Linked DNA regions of Alligator mississippiensis. Each later gene encodes a partner of the first gene's protein in a complex. Links are inferred from orthologs where the notes say so. Each region holds a gene or a part of one and is shown in the gene's direction. Other genes may lie near its edges. The genes, in order: PAK4 and INKA1.

Region 1 (9,767 bases):
GTTATGGCGGCCTGCTTTTCCCCCTGCCAGCCCATGAGTTCTTGGCACCCAGCCTCTGGGCGGAGGGGGGAGCTGGGCATTGTCTTCCCTCTGCCCGCCCAGATCAGGGCAGATCTGTTGAGCCTGGAAAAACCTGTTCTGTAGCTGTTGGGCACAGAAATGCAGAGGCCTTTCCAGGCACCTGCCTGCTCAGGATTTCCAGCTGGGGAAGGCTTTAAAAAGTTTCACCTTCTCCTGCTTCAGCTCCTGGGTTTTGCGGCACATTTGTCCTAAGATCTGTTGTACTGGATCCGCCCCTAGGTCTGTCTTGCCTGTCTCCTGTGTCACGCGGCGGCAGAGCGTGGAGCTGGAAGGCAGAGTATGGGGGTCTGAGCAGGGTTGCCCCCCACCTCCTTGCAGCCATCGACGGTCCAGGACATTCTCATTCAGAGGCTGTGCCCCAGAGCTCCCAGTGCCCCTTTCTTCCAGGACCTGGACCAGTCCCTTCTGAATTGGGCTAAACTCCGCTTCCCCCACATCTGGTGGCCATGAGCTCCCCCCTTCCATCCCACACTGGGGGGAAACGACCATCCTGGTGTTCATTTTAAACTGGTCCTTTCATGCCGTAACCCTTCATTCTTGCCTGGCGAGAGATGGCCCAGAGTAAATCCCCACTGAGCTTCTCTTCCTTGCTTAGTACTTTGTAAACTCGTATTATGCCCCCCATTGAAGCGTCTCCTTTTGTAACCGGGCCCGGCCTGGCCTTGTTAGTCTCTCCTCATAGGGAAGCCACCTCCATAGCCCTGATCATTTTTGTTGCCCTTGTTTTAGGGTTACTTTGTCTTGAGGATCTGGCGTGCTCAGAGCTAGGATTTTGAAAAGCGGGGTGCAGGCGGTGCTTCATCACATGTGACACGACCAGGGATGGATGCAGAGGGGGTGCAGTGGCCTGCCTGCATCCCCCCCTTCAGACTGGTCCGTGTTGCCAGAGCCTCTGACAGCACTCAAACGAAGGGGTAACGTTCGTTAGACCCCGCGAAATCTGCCCCGAAACCAGGCTCTGTTCTGGGCTCTTTAAAAGTGGTTGCCATGAAACCTTATGATCAGGTTGATCTCATTAGCCAAGTTTATCTCCTGGATGAAGGCGCAGGAGCGCGGTGGGTTGACTGAGGGATTATCTTGGCGGTAGCTTGATGGTCGAGGGAATATGAGGAAGACCAGGTTTACTCGGGACCTTTTTTATTGCACCTGCTGTATGGGTGGGAGGTGTTAGGTGAACCTTCAGGGCCCACATGCCCTTCTCGGGGCCGGGAATCCTCCTGGATTGCGCTCGGATGGTCGGCGATGCAGACGTGAGCAGGTGAGGGTGATGATGTTGCTGTGGTGAGGATTTGGGGATGAAGCTGTTTCATGTGACGGGCTTTGATTTTTCAAAACGTCAGTGGGGTTCCCTAGGTCTCCCTGTGGGGGGGACATCTAGCTTCAGGCATGTCTGCCCCGTGCCCAGGGGATGTCCAGCTCCATGCACACATCCCCCCTGCCTCCTTCTGCTTCATGTATCGGGGGTTTTAAGCCTCCCCCAGAGGTGCTGGGCTGGGGATGGGCCAGTGGTCCCACGGGGTCCTGGCTGGAGGGTCTTGCCCCTCTGCTCAGAGCCGGACTGATGCTGCACTGGGGGCAGGAAGGGATTTCCCCTCCTGCTTGGACTGGCACAACTGGGGGGGTTGCCGTTCTCTGTAGCAGGGGCACGGCCTCTACCTGGGGTCTCTGGAGCGCCTTTGGCAGCAGCAGGATGTTGCCCCCACACCCTCCTGCTTTCTCTGCGGCAGATTCGGGTGCAGTGCCCGGTGTGGTGTCAGGGCTGGCGGTCGCGCTGCTCAGAGGTTTGACCCTGGGTTTGTCTGGGCTGGTTTGGACGGGGTGGATCCTGCCTCAGGCCGGGGGTCGGATTAGCTGTGACCTCTGGAGCTCCCTTCCCCCCCACTTCTCTGCAGTTTCTCTGAAAACCGCCCCAAGCCGAGACGCACGCAGCCCCAGCGTTCTCTGGGTTTTAGTGGCGGTCTCTTTATTTTTTTCCCCAAAGGAATTAAAAACAGACTAAGATCCACGCTCAGCCCCAATCCCTGCCGGGGGCTCCAGTGCTTTCTTTCCCCCTGGGAGGGAATCAACCCGTGCTGAGCCGCTGGAGCTAAGGATGTGTTTGGTGTTTCTCCGGGCTCTCTCCCTTCTTCCTGCCCCGAGAACTGTTTGCTACTTCACAGCACCAGGATTGATTTCTCTCTGAATGCCTCCGCGGCTTTGATGGCCTCCCTTCCCTTCCCTCACGTGGCCCCTTCCCCGTAGAGCGATGATTGGTCTTGAACCCAGGCCTGCCCCTTTTCCTCCCAAGGGTGCTGGGTGAGTGCCAGCAGATGCTAGCAAGGGGCGATCACTCCAGACGTGCCCCGTTCATCTGCTGTCATCTGCCGCCGCCGCGACGGGGGAGCCAAGCCCCTCCACGGTGGGGGTGCAGATAATCGCATGGGAAGCCGGGAGGAGGAGGGCAGGTGCGAGGCTAGGAACCAGGGGCCGCAGGAGGATAATCAGATGGGAGCTAAGCATTGCTGATCCTCACGTGTACTCGTGCTGTCGTGCGACCCAGCGGATCAGACCTCTCCCCCACCCCAGTTCCCTTCCCGTCAGCCTCTGAACGGCCGTGGCGAAAACTCCCCGACCACAACATCACACAGGATGGAAAGGATCCGTGTCTGGACGCCTCCATCTACTAAGGCTGACAGCTCCTAGAAATCCCCCTTTTTTCCAGCAAGTCTGCAGACTTGCCGGCTCTCTCTGTCCTCCACCTCCCCAGTCTGCTCTGCAAGACACCCGAAAGGCTGTTCAGCACCGCAAGAGAGAATTGGCTTTTGCAAATAAAGCTGCGGGGGGAAAAAAAAAAGGGTGTGGGTGGTTTTGGCTTTCAGTTGCCAAATACTTTTCCTGGGCTGTCCCCTCTTCCCCGTGCGATTCTGGGCCGGCTTCCAGGGAGCAATGAAAGCACCCGACAGCGGCAGGAGCGTTCGGAAAGGGGGAGTCTGAGCTGCCTGGTAGGAGCTGATGTGTAAGACTGCAGACCAGAGCAGCAGGACCCTGCCAGCCCCCGGGGCAGATCCAGGGCTATCTTGGGGTAACGTGTGATCGGGCTGCGGGGTTGTGTTAGGACTGGGTCAGACCAGGCCGTGTCTGGGAGGGTTTAGACGGGGCTGATCCTGCCTGGAGCAGGAGGCCGGACTCTGTGACCTCCAAGGGGACAGTGCTGGCCCGCGGTTTGAAGACCTCACATTGCAGGGGCTTGTGTCGAACCTCTCCTGCTCCCTCTTGTCACGGCAGAAAGAACTGGGGTGATTTGGTATGGAGCAGAGAAGGCCGAGAAGCGGGGATTTGACCCCTTGAAGGCCGCTCGGCAGAGGATGGAGACAGACCCTTCTCTGCAGGGACAGGTGGGCAGGACTCGGAGCAACGGCCTCAAGCTGCAGCAGGGACAGTGAGGTTGGACCCCAGCACCCTATTCGTTCATCCCCCGGCCCCACGGGTGTCTGAAGTGGGAATTGGGGGGTCTCTGGGCCTAGATCCTGCCTGCGCCACGTGGCTTTAAACCTTCCAGTGCTGATGGCGGCTCTGGTTTTCTGCTGCCCTCAACGCCTCTCCAAGCACGTTTGTGACTTAACTGGGTTGAATCCAGGGTGTTTCCCTTCTCCAGCGAAGGCAGCGGGGGGTGCGCGGACTGGCTCTGACAAGCGGTAGGATTTGGGGCCTGATCTAGCTGCGTTCCAGTTCCAAGCAGAGAGTCAGAGAGGAGCAGGGCTGGAAGGGACCCCCAGAGGTCACGGCTAGTCTAACCCTGGCCTGAGGCAGGATCAGCCCCGTCCAAACCAGCCCAGACAAACCCAGCATCGAAACTCTGAGCAGCACGACCGTTGGCCCTGACACTGCCCCGGGCATCGCCCCAAATCTGCCGCAGGGAAAGCAGGGCTGCGGGAGCAACGTCCTGCTGCTGCAAAGGAGCGTCATGGATGCTTCAGAAACCCCAGGGCGAGGCCGTGCCCCCGCTGCAGAGGAAGGCAAACCCACCCCCAGTCCGGACCAGGGGGGAAATCCCTGCCCCAGTGAAGCCTCAGGCTGAGCCTGAGCGCAGGGGCTAGATCCTCCAGCCTGGCCCCTGCGGGGTTGGTTGGCACAGCCCAACCCCACCCCCCAACACATGGAGCAGAAAGCGGGGTGGGGGGGCGGCACCCAGCAAAGCCCAGAAGCCTGGGACATCCCCAGAGGACATCAGATCACCCCCACAGCTTCCCTGGTCGTCTGTTCCTCTGCCTCCGGCTCTGCTGTGCACCTGCTGGGGCCGGGCGGGTTGCGGGGGCGCTGTACTGGGGCTTTCTCTCTCTAGCGGCGAGTCTGAGCCTGGACCCCCGGAGGTGGTTGCTTTGCCTTTCTCCAGTGCCCAGGGCTGCTCCCTGCCCCCAGCAGGTCCTGCAGCAGGAGGCTGCGGGGCCTTCTGTTCTCCTCGGCTCCTTCCCCATCTTTAAAACGGGACACTGGGATGCGCTGGATCCCGGAAGGAAAGAGTTTGTCCTGGGAGAAACCCGAATTCTCAGCTCTGCAGAGGGTTTAAACGGCCCTCCCGGGTCATCTGGTTGAACCGGGCACCCGGCAGCCTCTCCCCCAGCCATGGGATCATCCACACTGGCGCCGGAGTTGTGTCTACACTAGGGCTCCATTGGGAAATGCCTCTTTGTGCCGCCTTCTCTGCATCGAGGGGGAGGAGAGAGTCCGGCGCAGAGCAATGTGGGACAGACCCGGAGCTGGGGTGGTTTCGTCGGGGCTGGACTCGACATGACCCCACTGATGCCCAGGGTTGCCAACGGGGCGGATTTTAGGACTTTCCTACCACCGGCGAGGTGGGTTTTTGCAGCCGAGGGAGGAGGCGTGTGTGCTGCGAATGCCCGGGCTCTGGACGTGCCGGGCGGGCAGCCCCATGGTCTGTGGGTCTGGGGGCTGCCCCCAGCACCTGCCTGGGGTGGGTTTTTGGGGGTGGGCTCTGCCTTGCCCCGCCCTCCAAGGCCAGCACCTGAGTGGCCGCTTTGTTTTCAAACCTTGCTCTCCCATTGGCTGCGGGCACCAATCCCCCACCCATCCCCACTCCCGATTTTAACCCTTGGGTGCCTGGTGGGTTATGCAGCACTCCAGCCAGCTTCCTTACCCCCTCTCCCCCCTTTTCCCAGTATCTGAGTATTTCTGGCCTCCGGGTGATGTGGGTTGTGGGGGGGAGCCCCTCCCTGCCACCTAGAAGACCCCAGTATAAATGGTTGGTGGGCACGTTCCCAGCTGTCATGCCCTGCCGCACGGAGGGGGAGCCTGCAGGGAACCGGGTCCTCTCTCCGCCTAATTTTGCCTTTCTCCCAGCTGCACGTGAGGCTTTCCCAGGGGTTCAGTGGGTGTGTGTGTGGGGGGGTCCTTGTGCCGGGAGGGGGTCAACAGCCAGGATGTGGGTGGACATGGGACCTGGGGGATGCGGAGGGCAGAGACTGGGACCAGGGGACCCAGATGGGCGCGGGGTAGGGCGCTGGCTCCTCCTGGTACTAACACCCGCCAGGGCCCAGGAGGAGGAGGGCAAAGGTCCCATGGGGCAGTTGGCAGGAGAGAGATGCCTCCCCCAGACAAGACACTTCCACGGGGTGGGGGGACGTGGCTGGCTGTTTAGGGAGGTGGGGGCTCCCTTACGTCCCACCTTCTTGGGGTGGGTGCAAGGGGGTCGGTGGCCTCCTGGGCGCGTATTCTTGGGAGCCTGCCTGGATTTCGGAGGCCGGGGCGGCGTCTTGGAGTCTGGGCTGCGCTGTTTATTCCCCGGTTCCTCCATGGCTAAATAATGCAAGGGGGCGAGGAGATCAAGGGAGCACCGCCGGGCCCGGGGCAGCCTGGCTCCCGGCTTCCTGCCGCGGCCAGGGGGGCTTGGGCAGAACACAGCGGGGAAGCTCTTTGGTGGTGGGAGGGATGTGTCACGGACACCTGGGTTCTGTGTGCGTGTATTTGTGTGTGTATCCGTCACGGACACCTGGGTTCTGTGTGTGTGTTTCCTGGACACCGGGGGGGGGTGTCTGTGTCACAGACACCTGGAGGTGGGTGTGCACATTTCCTGCATGCCTGGGTTCTGTGTGTGTGTGTGTGTGTGTGTGTGTGTGTTTTCCGAATGCCTGGGTTCTGTGTGTGTGTGCATCCTGGATTCCCAGGTCGTGTGTGTGTGTCCTGGATGCCTGGGTTGTGTGTGTGTATCCATCCAGGACACTTGGGTTGTGTGTGTCCGTGTCCTGAATACCTGGGAGGGTGCGTGTCCATGTGCCTATCTGTCCCAGACATCTGGGTTGTACGTGTTTCCTGGATGCCTGGGTTCGTTCTGCGCGTGTGTCTTGGATGCCTGTGTTGTGTGTGTATGTGCACAGGTGTGTGTTCTGAAGGCCTGGGGTCTGTGTGTGGGTGGAGCTGGAGGGTTGAGGATTGGGCTGAGCAGGCCAATTTGGGGTTAAAGATGTCTATGAGAGCAAGGCAGGCTGGGTTCTAGGCTTGGGGGAAGCAGAAGGGACACGACCTGGGTTCATGACCTCGGTTTTAGGCTCAGGATGGCCAGGGCCACTCCCCCCCCTGCAGCCCCGGCCAATTACTTTGTAGCTCCGTGCCTCAGTTTCCTTCTCTGCGCACGGGGGAAGATGCTCCTCTCCCTCTCATTCAGGCCAGGCTGTCCTGGGGCAGTAGCCAGTCCAGGACCTTGGAACGTGCCTGCGAGCCCTTGGCAACCGAAAGCCGGCTGCGTTTTGGGGCCAGCCCCTTTGGAGCACTTCTCTCTCCCCGACAGAGGTGCCTCAGCTCCCTCCTGCCGCGGGCGGGAGGGCAGCGCAGCCCAGTGCCCGCTGGGAGGGGACGGGTGAATCAGAGGCCAGGACTCCAGGAACCCGCGTGGGTGGCACTGCGCCCCACCCCGCCCCGGGGCCTGTCATCCTGGCGAGCCCCCAGCCGGCCCGGCCCAGAAGGAGGGGGCCTAAAGCCGTGCGGCTGGTTTGGGGAAGCCATTAGCCAGGAGACAGAGCCTGGACTCGTTCTCCAGGGGCCTGGGCGTACTGAGGGCCCCGAGACGGGCCGCGATGAGGTCCCACGACGAATGGGCATGTAAGTTCCTCCTGGCTCTCGGCCGCTGCCCCCCAGATCTTCCCCTCGCCAAGGCCACACTTCTCCCTGCCTCCCTCCCCGCTCTGGGCACCCAGCCCTGCAGGGAGCCAGCCCCGGGTGATGACGAATAGGTTGGGACCTCTGGGGTGTGCTGGAATTTCCCCCTGCTCTACAGCTCGCCGTCAGGGCTCAGACAGGATCCAGGCACTTCCATGGTGCCCCTGCAGAGCATTTCCCCCCTGCTCAGGTGGCGCGTTGCACTCGGGCAGGCCGCGGGGTTAGCCCTGGGGCCATGGCGTCTTTGCCAAGGGCATCAGGGAGGTAGAGGCAGGGGGCACAGATGGCACCGGCCGCTGCTTCTCTCCCGAACCACAAAAACGCCCGCAAGCCGGACTGTCTCCTCGCTGCCTGGGTTTCGGGGGCTTTACAATGAATCTGTCCCCGTCATGTCATGTGAGCAGGAGGGGGGGAAAGCAGCAGACTGCCGGAAGTGCCTGGGGAGGGGGCGGGGGGCAGTCACCCCCCCACTTCGAGTCCTGTTTACACAAACCAGGCAGGGGCAGCGGCATTTCTATCCAAGCAGCAGCCAAGGTGTCAATTGACTTTGCGGCTTATTATCATCATCTGGGTTCCTGCTAATCTCTCCGCTCCATGGGTGTGAACGGCCCTTTCTCCTTTCCTAATGGTCTTGATGTTCCACTCTTCAAGCTCGCCTTTTCTCTGCTTGCCTGCCCTTCCTGCGACCCTCTCTCCTCCTCTCCCCAGCCCTGCAGGCCATTTGTAGCTCTAGCTCCAGCCCTTCGCGCCGTCGCCGTCGCAGGGGCGTATTGGAGGCACTCAAGAAATCACGGTTTTGGTGTGTGGCGCCAAATAAGAGATGTCCAATGAACTGTTCCCGGCCGCAGGGCTCGTGACGCAGCGGCTTTTGGCTTTTTCTGGCGCGTCGTGTTCTGGTTCTTTTGTTTTAAAACTTGATAGATCATCTAGCAAACGAGCATGCGGGCCGTAGCTCTGGTGGTCTTTGCTATGCTTTTAACTGGGATCATCTAGTGTCAGCCTCGCTCCTTATTAATTAAGCTTCTGGTTTTGCTTCAGCTGCAGAAAAATAGCGGTTGAGCCTTACAGGATGATGTGCCCATGCCAGGTGCACCCACCTTTCCAAAATCCTAGATCCGCCCAGGCCTGGAGATGTCTCTTGCGTTCCCCCACCTCCATGATCTAGGTCTGGTTGTAGCCTGCGAGCTGCTGTTCAGCTAGAGAAGCCTCTGCAGCCAGGAAAACCTGTGCCTCTCATCTCCGGAGCCAAAACTTTCTCTTAGCCGTGGCCTGGATGCCTTGGACCCGGGAGGGGAGAAACCCCGGCCTCCACGGTTCATGCTTGGGGTGGTGGGAGGCTCTGAGCCATCAGCTTCTCTCGGATCTGTGCCAGGTTACCAGGACCACGTCTTGAGCGGTGTCTAGGGGGGACCCTGTCCTGCCCGCGGAGAAACACGCAGGTTCATGCCTGCCTGGAGAACCAGCAGCCCTGACTGGAGGATCTCCCTCTCCCTCCTTCCCTTGCACTGGGTGGGCTTTGACCTGGCTGGATGGAGTTGCCTGCCCCCCCAGGAGAGGACAGAAAGCAGCTTTCAGGGGCACATACGAGCACTGCCTGGTGCCTCCCCGCCAGCACGGATGCAGGGCCAGAGCTGGGTGTGGGGGGTGTTCTTGGGTCTGTGCATCCAGGAGGACAGGCCTCCAGGTCTGTGCTGGCCCCCGCTGGCCCCGATGCCTGCTGGGCCCTGCCTGTGCCTCACCTGAGCCTGGAAGCGCCCGGGGTCCTGGAGCCTGAGTAAGGCTGGTTCAGGAGAGGAAGGGCCGGCCGGCCGGGCCCCGTGGGAGGAAAGCCCATAAACATCCGCTGAGCTTCCTCCTCACCTTCCTTCCTCCCCAGCCCCGCCTGGGCGTGGAGTGGCTGCGGTGCCCAGCAGGGAGAGGGCAGGCGGGGCCCCGAGGGTGCTGAGACCCAGAGCCGAGGCCCTGCAGGGACGCCGGGAAGCTTGCCCGGCGCTTCCAGTGCAGTGTCCGGTTGTTTGCTGGGTGGGGGGCAGCTGTCTGCAAGGGGAGCTGATGTGTGTGGGCGCGTGTGCATGCACACATGTGTAGGTACTGGAGCACATGCAGGTGCACCTGTGTGTATACACGCATGTGTGGGCGGGTGTGCTTTGGCGTGTGTGTGGGCATGTTTTTGCATATATGTGTGTGTGTAGTTTTGCATGCATGTGCACCTTTTGGTGGGCATGTGTATAGGTGCATGTGCTCTCGTGTACAGGTGTGGGCATGTGCGTGCATGGGTGTGTGCTTGCATGTGTGTACATGTTCATGAGTGGGCCTGGTGTCCCACCAGCCTCCCGAATCCTGGCTTCTGCCCTTCCATCAGCATCATACTGGGCCCAGCGCCAGTTCCCCACATGCCCACATGTCTTGCCTGCCATCTTTGCCAGCTGCCGGGCTCCACAGTCCCTGCCACAGGCCCCTGGTACCCTGGGCATCCCCTGTGACCACCCCCCTCCCAATCTCTTTCAGGCCTCGTAGCCGACCTCGCCATGTTCAGC
Region 2 (9,996 bases), on another chromosome or scaffold:
GGAAAGGTGCCTCAATGGCTATTGAGCATGTGAATTAGGGGTACAGCCCTAGAATCAGAACTTCCTAGACCCTCAATGCTAAAGGCTACAAGTGGGAGAGGAACAGTGGAAAAAACCCTGGTCATATCCAATTCACTCTTCCTTTAAGCATCTGCTCTCAGCCACTATGTGACACAGGATACAGGGCAAGATGGATCTATGGCAGTGGTGGGCAAAATACTGCCCAGGGGCCAGATCCGGCTTGCTAGGCAATTTCATCTGTCCTGCGGGCACCCACCAATTAATTATACCTCCAGCCCACTGGTGCACTTTGCTCCCACCCTCCTACACAGGAGGGCCCTGACCCCAGCCCCAGCCAGCATGCACAGCTTCCAGGTGCCCTGTCTGCTGCAGCTGCCAGGGAACCTGCTCAGCTTTCCTGGCTTCCAGAGGCTCCTCATCATGCCCCAGCTGCAGTGCTTGCTCCAGGCAGCAGGTAGGGAAGCTGCAGCTGGGTGGCAGCGCGGACCATGGGGCTGGGACTGGCAGGAGCACGGAGCCTGGGGCCTGTGCCCAGTGGGGTGGTGGGAGCACAGGTTTGTGGTGGGCAGATTGTGCCTGACCAATCTAGTCTCTTTCTATGACCAGGTTACAAAACGCCTGGACACAGGAGGAGGGGTGGATGTTGTATACTTAGACTTCAGGAAGGCCTTCGATACGGTATCCCACCCCATACTGGTGAACAAGTTAAGAGGCTGTGATGTGGATGACTACACAGTCCGGTGGGTGGTGAATTGGCTTGAGGGTCGCACCCAGAGAGTCGTGGTGGATGGGTCGGTCTCGACCTGGAAGGGTGTGGGCAGTGGGGTCCCGCAGGGCTCGGTCCTTGGACCGATACTCTTTAATGTCTTCATCAGTGACTTGGACGAGGGAGTGAAATGTACTCTGTCCAAGTTTGCAGATGACACAAAGCTATGGGGAGATGTGGACACGCCAGAGGGCAGGGAACAGCTGCAGGCAGACCTGGATAGGTTGGACAAGTGGGCAGAAAACAACAGGACGCAGTTCAACAAGGAGAAATGCAAGGTGCTGCACCTGGGGAGGAAAAATGTCCAGCACACCTACAGCCTAGGGAATGACCTGCTGGGTGGCACAGAGGTGGAAAGGGATCTTGGAGTCCTAGTGGACTCCAAGATGAACATGAGTCAGCAGTGTGACGAAGCCATCAAAAAAGCCAATGGCACTTTATCGTGCATCAGCAGATGCATGACGAATAGGTCCAAGGAGGTGATACTTCCCCTCTATCGGGCGCTGGTCAGACTGCAGTTGGAGTACTGCGTGCAATTCTGGGCACCACACTTCAAGAAGGATGAGGATAACCTGGAGAGGGTCCAGAGAAGGGCCACTCGTATGGTTAAGGGCCTTCAGACCAAGCCCTACGAGGAGAGACTAGAGAAACTGGACCTTTTCAGCCTCCGCAAGAGAAGGTTGAGAGGTGACCTTGCGGCTGCCTATAAGTTCATCACGGGGGCACAGAAGGGAATTGGTGAGTATTTATTCACCAAGGCGCCCCCGGGGGTTACAAGAAACAATGGCCACAAGCTAGCAGAGAGCAGATTTAGATTGGACATTAGGAAGAACTTCTTCACAGTTCGAGTGGTCAAGGTCTGGAATGGGCTCCCAAGGGAGGTGGTGCTCTCCCCTACCCTGGGGGTTTTCAAGAGGAGGTTGGATGAGTATCTAGCTGGGGTCATCTAGACCCAGCACTCTTTCCTGCTTATGCAGGGGGTCGGACTTGATGATGTATTGAGGTCCCTTCCGACCCTAACATCTATGAATCTATGAATCTACAACATTACCATTGTAGAGTGTAGACCATAGCTATAGGTGAACTTGCATAACATAAGCAGGGTTAAAATCAGACCTGTTGCTCTCTGATGCAGCAAGTTTACAGCCCTAACTCCACACATCCCAGCCTAGAGCCAGCACAGCATCTGGCCGTGTGGCCACCAGAGGGTGCTCCCATTTCGCTGACTGGTGGGAAGTTGAGTCAGATCCCTAGTGCTCAAAACGAAGCTAGCCTTTGCTCATGTCCGACTGCCTTTTCCTTGGCTTGTCTCTGTGACACTCCCCCATGGGAAGTATGCTCTGGACAGTGAGGGCACCCAGCAGTCTGGGTGAGCCGATTCCTGTTCTTTTCCATTGGACCCTTCCCTAGAGCACAGGGGCACAGGTCCTCTGAGGAAGGGGATACCCAGGGAGGGAGAGCTGGGGAACCCAAACTCCTGTGCAGCCTTGCTTCTCTTTGCACTACTGTTTCCCCACTGATCCAAGCAGAGCAGTCCTCTGCCCTATGGCAGGCTCTGTAGTTCCTGTAGAACTGCACAGACCTCATGCTATACCAGTGCATCTGCCAGGGCTGGGAGAGGAGGTAGGCTATGAGTTGGGAATGAGGGACAGCACTAGAACTGAGATGAGGGAGCACCCAGGGCACAGCTAGCAGGAGACTATGGGTAGGGGTAACAGCAGGGCTGTGTGTTGAGGGAGCCCTGGGCTGGCCTAGCACAGGTTGTAGGTTGGGAGTGAAGGGCGCTGGAACTCCTGACTTGGAGAATCTTGGTGTCAGTCGTCACAAGTGCCTTGAGTATTGAAATCATGAATGACACGTGTCCTTGGCGGCTGGGGGAGGAGCATGCAGTAAGCAGGAAGCTCCTGCAGATGCCACTGGCACTGTCAGCAGCTGGGGGGTGACGAGCACCAACCAGGGGTTGGCAACCATCCACAGATGCCTCTGGCAGTGTTGACAGTGGCCAGCGGTAATCTCTGACCGCCCGCAAATGCTTCCAGCAGTGTTGGTAGTGGTGGGGGGGAGGGTGGAGAGTAGCAATCGCCCACAGGCGCCACCGACAGTGTCAGGGGTACCTTTTCATAGGGGGCGCACCACTACGCTCAGGGGGCACACATGCACCCGCGTGCACCTCCTACACGTCACCAATGATTGAAATACTATGGCCAGAAAAGAGCACTCTGTTTAGCCTTGGCTCTTGGCCCTGGTGGGTCAGAGGGTTGCACTTGGGGATGGTTCACAAACAAAGGGATCATCAGGGAGCGGGGAGGGGGGGGACTCTGACCATTTTCCAAGGGTAGGCAGTGTCCCCTTGGCAGATGCCATTGTGGGGACTGGATGGGTGCTCTGGAAAATATGGTATGTGATGACAGAGGAAGATCAGAGCCTGGGTGGATCAGAAGCAAGATATGTAGCCATGGAGGCTGCCTGTCTCTCAGACCAGCCCCCCTACAATTGCCCTATATGTCAGTCATTGCACTGGTTTCCCCTAGCTTGGAAACATGTCATAGGTGCTGGACTAGATCAGAGGTTCTCAAACTGTGGTCTGCAGACCACCACTGGTCCACGAGCTCCATTCAGGTAGTCCACAGAAAGGCTGCGGAACAATCGAGAATATCTGTACTTGTAAGGTAAGACTACTGATATAAAATATGAGTTGTGTGCTTTGATTTGTAGAACAAAAAAAAGTCTATTAAGTGGTCTGCCTAGACACTTAGCAATTTTCAAGTGGTCCGTGAAAAAAAAAGTTTGAGAACCACTGGACTAGATGATCTCTGAAGGTCCCTTCCAGCCTATTTGTCTATATACTCCAAGTTTATTGCAACTGTCAGAGGGTAAGAAAGTTAGTGTCTGTACTAGGTCAAAGACCATGATCCCAGCTTGTCCCATGGCCCTGACCAAGGCAGTTCTAACAGAGTGGGTCCTCCAAGGGCATGCACTGTAGCCTGTCCAGAACCACCCAAAACTGCCAGGAGCCTTGGCACAAGGAAGCCTAAAGTCTGGGTACCAGCAGCTGGGACAAGAGCCCAAGGTCCATCCCAGTATGGTGGGGTGCATGTGAGCAAGGGCAGGAGTGGGAAATGGCTAAAAGGAGGGCTGGGGGCTGTCCTGAAGCTGAGGGAAGTACGCTAGGCTTAGGCTGATCTGTGCCATACATATAGATGCATGGTGGCAGATTCCTGACCCACTTCCTCCCACAGAGAGCATGACCATGTGTTCGTTCCACTTATTTGGGGCTGAAAATGATTAACAACATCTCAGCTGCCCTGCAGCTATACCCACAATGCCCTTCCCAGGCACTGCCCTCCTGCCAGTGCCAGCCCCAGCTGCTCCTGGACATGTGAGGAAAAGCCTGGCTTCCTGCTATAGAAATGGGCTGTCTCAGGCCTGGCTGGGACTGTACAGGCCCTTAGTGAGGGGGTCAGGGCATGGTGCCAATTGCAAGGGGTGGAGGCTACAGGCTGGGAGTCAAGGCTGTTCCTCTGGTTCCCAGGGAATGGCCTTCCTCCTGTGGCACTGCTCCTTGCCCAAGCGTTGGGAAGGTAGAGGCACCTGTGATAGAGACAATGCTTTGTCAGCCTAAGAGCACTCCTTCCTCTGACCAAGTGCTGTGCCAACAGGTCCCTTTCTGGCACAAGGCTTTTCTGATACCACTGTTCTTACCTACCAGTCATAGCCAATTCTTGTTTGTACATCTTGGGATGCACTGCCAAAAGCAAGGGGTTGAGTCCACTGGTCTACATGTGGCCTCAGCATCCTGAGTTGGCCCTGGTCTATGGAAACAACACTGGCCCGGTGGACAGGCTGCTCGTGCCAGCAAGTGTAGGGGAGCTGGGTGCTGAGATTTGGAGTCCCCAAAAACTGCACAGTTAATGCACAGAAGGAGCCTCCAATGCACATTGGCTCCGTGGCCTGTGTCGTGCTCCTCCTGCTCTCCTCAGTCACAGCAGAGGTCCACATATTTTCCAAGGCACCTGAGCCAAGGTACAGACCTGGGGGGAAAGAACACTAGAAGGGCAGCAGCTTACCTCTGTCACTTGTCTGTGCCACACATCGGGTCAGCTCCTATTCCCGTTACCTGCCTACCTCGTTCTTGTTCCACCCTGTTCAAATCCCCGAAAAACAGTCCACCTTCCACTGGGTGCTTTCTGTGCCTTGGTCTCACAGTTGAAATGAGGACCCCTTACCAAAGTAGATGCATGGACGTTTTTTCAAAGGACTGGAGCAGGAAGACTGGGGCAGGATCACCCTCGTGTCTCGCAGGAGGAGCAGGATCTGTCCCAGCCCCTCTGCTCCAGGGAAGGGCCCAGGGTGCAGCCACAGCACAGCATCCATGCTCCTCACAGAACAGACCCGCACTGGGGCCCAGCCCCTAGGGCCGTCTCCGGGGCGCAGCGGCAACGCGCCACCAGCACGCGTGATACAGCGTCCGGCAGCCGCGGCATAGCCCCCCGGGCCCGCCCGCTGCGGGCTGCTCCTACCTGCCCGCCCTGCCCTGCCCTGCTCCGGGCCAGCTGCTCGCGCCTGGGCCGGGACACGCTGCCAGCGGCCGCCGGGCACGCTGCCCTGCCCGCCCCGGGCGGAGCTCGCCTTCCAGCGCCCGCCCATTGGCCAGCCCGGGCCCGGCGGGGGGCGGGGGGCGGGGAAGCGCCGGGCCCATTGGCTGCCGCCGGGCGGGGGCGGCCTTGGCCGAGCCAGGCTGTGCGCTGGGACGCGCCCGGGCACGGGCTGGGCTGGGCTGGGCTGACGGAGCGAAGCGGCCGTCCGGGACCCTCCGTGCGGGGCGGCCCTGCCATGCACCGCGCCCGCCTGGACGTCTCCTCCGGCCACCTCCGCTCCGAAGCGGTGAGTGCGGGGCTCGCGGCGCGGGGGCCGGCGGGGCTGCGCTGCGGGACAGGGGCTGCCCCGCGCCTCGCCTCGGCCGGCGGTGCTCCCGGGCGGGCTCAGGCCGGGCTCCTTGTCGCTGCGGGCGGGACCCGGGCGGGAGCGCAGGGAAGTGGAGCCGAGCCCCGCTCCAGCTCGCGACGGGGCGGGCGAACGGGGTCTCTGAGCTGAGGACATCGGGCACTCAGGGCTGGGCTGAGCACGGGGGCAGGCTGGCACGGACCGTTTCCCATCCGCTCGGGGGCGCCGCTTCGCCCCGGGGCTGTCTCTAGCTGAGCGGCGGAGCCAAGTGCCGGCTTTCCCGGGGTGCTGGCAAGTCGAGGCTGTAGCAGGAGCCACCTCGTGGCAGGACTGCCAGTGCCTGCCTGCCCGCTTCCCTGGGGTGGTGGGTGGATGGGGTGACGCTGAGAGCAGTCGGTGGGGGTGCGAGGCTGCTGCTCGGGCCCCACGGTCCCAGGGGGCTTCACCACTCAGACTAGCTTTGCCTTTAGCAGAGCAAGGGGCTGACATTGGCCCTAGTCTCTTAGTGCTGACCCTGTGGGGCTGCAGTCACTGGGCTTGTCCTGCCAGGCCCTGGGACTGGCTGGAAAAGACAGTAAGGTCAAGCCCCCTCTTCTCCTTTGTGGCTCCACTCTCAGACAAGGGTCTCAGGGGTCCTAGAGTCTGGTTACTTCAGAAAATCTTGGGTTTGGGGCACATGTGATGCACTAGGCAACTTCAGTACAGCCTCCCTCACCAAGCATGTCCCTGACTTGCATGTGCACACCCCTACCATGCATGCACATAAATGCACACACGCATGCACACACATACACAGACTCCCCCACTACAGAGACATACATGTACATATACAGAGTGCCCACCACACACATCCAAACACATGACAGCATGATTCTCTTTCACACACTGTGGCTCTGTGTAGTTAGTGTCCAGGGGAGACCAGTGGGCTGTGATGGATCATCTCTTCCCTTCCTGATGCTTCAGAAAGAAGTACTTTGCAGGAATTTTTACACTGGATTTCAAGATGGTTTGAAATAGAATGTTGCTGAGTGACATCATAATGACATCAGACCTGGGGACTCAGTGAGGCCAAAGATGCTAGTGATATCAGAGTTGGGTGAGACCAGAAATCGGGAAGGCAGTTAGCATAGAGATGGGACTAGTTAATTCTGACACCCTAATGCCCAAGACCATTATATTTTGACAAGGCGGGCACTGGGAAAAAGTGATTCCTGAGGATGAGATCTTTTGGGCCCAATGTCACCTTGCACTGAGTCTGCTCTTGCTATTTCCTCTCACTTGAGTTCTGGGAATTGCCTGGCTAAGGCTATAGACATAAGAAATGTCCCCAGGAGCTTTTGATCAGACCCTTCACCATTTCAAAACCAGGTTTTGGGGTCTCAGAATAGTGTTGTTATTGGGGAGCACTGATCTCCTGCAAGCTGACACCTGGGGGAACTTACCACATTTGAGAAGCTCTGATCTTTGATCCCCATGGCAGTTGTTTCCAATTCTAGTGTTTTACAATAGTGGGGGGCAACCTTTTTGGCAGGCATGCCACAAATGAGCCCCACACCCACCCCAAGTGCCACGTCCATCCCTTTCCCTTCCCTGGCCTACTGCTCAGCTTTCTGCTCCCTGCCCTGTACTTCTTGACCAAGCTGCTTTCTGCTTCCTGTCCTGTCTGCCACTGTGTTGCTTGTCCCATCCCCAGTCTGCTTCATGCCATATAAAGAGGCTGCTCATGCCAATTGTGCCACCTGTGCCATAGGTTGGCTACCTCTGGTTTACATCTCAAGTCTTCCAGTGTTACTGGAGACAGGGCACTGGCCCAGGCCTACCCTGGCCTGTAGTTTTCTGAATCCTGAGCTTCTGCTCCCAATATGCTGTGCTGTGCCTCTTCCTGTTGTGTTTGGTGGGCTGGGTGGTACTGTAGCCAGAAGAGCAGTGCTGGGGCCTGAGGTGATATCTTGGGGCAAAGTTGGACGCTCAGGGAATGGCTGAGGGATTGGGATCCAAAACTGTGCTCCTCTGAATGCTTCATTTTTTGCTTTTGTCTCCTGAAGCTAGCAAAAGTTTGGAATTTTGTTGGGGTTTTCTGGGTCATGTCACCCAACTGGTGGCTCAGGGTGGTTCATGGAGATAGAAGCCTCTGGGGAGGTGCACCTCTGCAGTGACACCAACACGGGTACTGGGTGCAGTGCTAGTGGGAGCAGATCCTACTCGCATCAGGCCAGCAGCATCTAGCAGAGTAGAGGATAGTTCCCCTGGGATTGGCATGGCTTACTGAGTTTCCTAGCTGTCTGACCTTCTTAGTGCAGGCTTGGGGGTTGGGGCATGGAATTGTGACTGTTTGGCCCCTGTTTAGGTTTCAGCTGATGGGGAAACAAGCACAAAGTGGTTTCTTTGAACTGGACCAAAATGGTGGTATGGATTTTTATCTCCACAGTGTTTTTAAAATTTCAAAATTTTGAACTGACTCAGGCTGTGAACATTTTCATAAACATTTTGCAGGATGCAAAAAGCACTTCTCACCCAGGTGTAAACATGGGCTTTTCTTATCACAGCAAAGACAAAAGGATCCTTTGTGGATCCCTGCATTAGGCCTTTCTGTCCCAACAACTTTGGATCCCCCTAGTACCAGCTTGTGCTTGAGCAGAAATAAACCTGATTGTGAAGTATAAATCCAGGTGCCTGGGAGAGCTGCCTGGGTGGGGCATGATGGCTTGCAGGTATTGTAAGTGTGTGGGGGTGGATGAAAGCATGAATAGCCCCACCCCACAGCCCAGAGGAAGAGCTGCAATCCAAAGGTGCTGGGGTGGGCATCAGGCTGAGTTCTGTGTTGGGAAGACCAAACACTGAGGCTTCATATTCTTATTTAATGAGTGGCAAGCTATGTGTAGCCTTTCTTGGTGAGGCTTGTGACATCTGGTCCCCTCACATCAAGTCACATCCCTACTCCAGTCACTTCCTGAAGTACCTTCTCAAATCACATCTGCAAATATTTGGGGCTGGTGTGGACTTAGCATATTACAGATGTGTATAGGAGAGGGCTCAGAAGGTATAGAGAAATGTGAGGGAAGATTTGAGTTCCATTTTTTGATAGAACCTATGCTGGAACAGCTCAAAATGCAAAATGTGTTGTCGCAGACTGGGCCTCCTGGGGTTACTCCCCAACTGTATCTGGGAACATTGTCTAGTGCTGAGAGCATGAACAGGAAGCCAGGGCTTCTGGACTCAATCTCCAGCTCCGCCAGACTCCCTCCATGACCTTTGTCAGCCTCAGCCCTGGATCCATCTTATGCTGAGCCCTTGTCTGAAAATGAAGGGCATGACATGGGCCATGGGCTTTGGGAACCCCAATGGGAAAGCCCCTTTCACTTCATCAGTGAGTAGTAGAATTATCTTTGTGAGAAGCAGTGCCAAGGTTGTACTGAACCTTGCTGGGCAGTTTGGGGTGGGTGGTACATTTTCTTTCTGCCCCACCTAGCATGTCTATGTAAGGAGCTGTATGTTGTGGTGCTCAGCTCAATTGTGTCCCAAAGCAGGATGGCTCCCCCTGTGGGCTCTGCTTTAGACTCCCCTGGGCACTGTGTGGCTGCCCCCATTCCCTTTCTTCTAAGAATTGTGAGTACCCCGAGCACTATGCATTGCCTAGGACTGCTGTTGCAGGAAACACTTGGCTCCTAGGAAGTTGTGCCTCATCATGTTTCAGCCTGCTTGTGTGGCCTTTTGCCCCACTGGGAATTTCCAGCTTTCTGCCTTAAATTGTGGGCATCAATTGGAGCTCAGCTTTGTACATGAGAGTTGGGGTCTCATACGGGGCAGTAGCTGGGAACTTCCTGTAGGTCCAGGCTGGCCACTTGCAAGGCTCTCCTATCCCCTATACCATCCAGTGCTCGGTGCTCCAGTGCACCCTGTCTGGCACCTTTCTGGCCTCCTATTGGGCCAAGGTGGTGTCCCACCCAAATGTGTCAGTCCCTGGCAGGCTGGGACTTGGGCTGTAGCTGCAGATTGGGGTGGGGCGGCTGCTTGCTCACCCTGACATGCTGCTACATGCTGGCCAGGCCCTGCGCAGGAGTGGCAAGGAAGTGCTGCCTCAGGGCTGGGTGCATGGGGGACAGCCAGGGCCTGTATATGCAGCTCCCCACACAGCTCTACACGCAACCTAGGCAGCTGCTGTTGGCCTACTGGCACCACAGCGTGGGCACCTTGGCTGAGCTAGCCAAGGCCCTGTAATCCTGCAGGATAGCCACACTGACTGTTGCTGAGAGGGAACATGTGGA

The links.
Region 2: the proteins of PAK4 (region 1) and INKA1 are in contact, whole or in part, in a crystal structure (PDB 4XBU), measured with the Homo sapiens proteins. The link is inferred for Alligator mississippiensis from reciprocal best matches to the Homo sapiens genes PAK4 and INKA1. Residues at the interface, in NP_001014831.1 of Homo sapiens: Ser331, Gln358, Arg359, Glu361, Leu362, Thr404, Asp440, Lys442, Ser443, Asp444, Phe461, Leu475, Val476, Gly477, Thr478, Pro479, Tyr480, Trp481, Met482, Arg489, Glu507, Glu512, Phe516, Asn517, Glu518, Pro519, Pro520, Met524; in NP_976248.2 of Homo sapiens: Gly178, Arg179, Ser180, Arg181, Gln182, Pro183, Leu184, Val185, Leu186, Gly187, Asp188, Asn189, Cys190.

What each region holds. Positions count from the first base shown.
Region 1 is NC_081838.1:1,208,274-1,218,040, forward strand, and holds the start of PAK4 (serine/threonine-protein kinase PAK 4), read left to right. Parts: upstream 1-5,184; 5' UTR 5,185-5,264; coding exon 5,265-5,424; intron 5,425-6,035; exon of another isoform or gene 6,036-7,148; coding exon of another isoform or gene 7,149-7,173; intron 7,174-9,738; coding exon 9,739-9,767. UniProt on the Homo sapiens protein: Serine/threonine-protein kinase that plays a role in a variety of different signaling pathways including cytoskeleton regulation, cell adhesion turnover, cell migration, growth, proliferation or cell survival.
Region 2 is NC_081835.1:40,910,124-40,920,119, forward strand, and holds the start of INKA1 (PAK4-inhibitor INKA1), read left to right. Parts: upstream 1-5,522; 5' UTR 5,523-5,620; coding exon 5,621-5,671; intron 5,672-9,996. Other genes in the region: CDHR4 (cadherin-related family member 4), read right to left, coding at 5,014-5,161. UniProt on the Homo sapiens protein: Inhibitor of the serine/threonine-protein kinase PAK4. Acts by binding PAK4 in a substrate-like manner, inhibiting the protein kinase activity.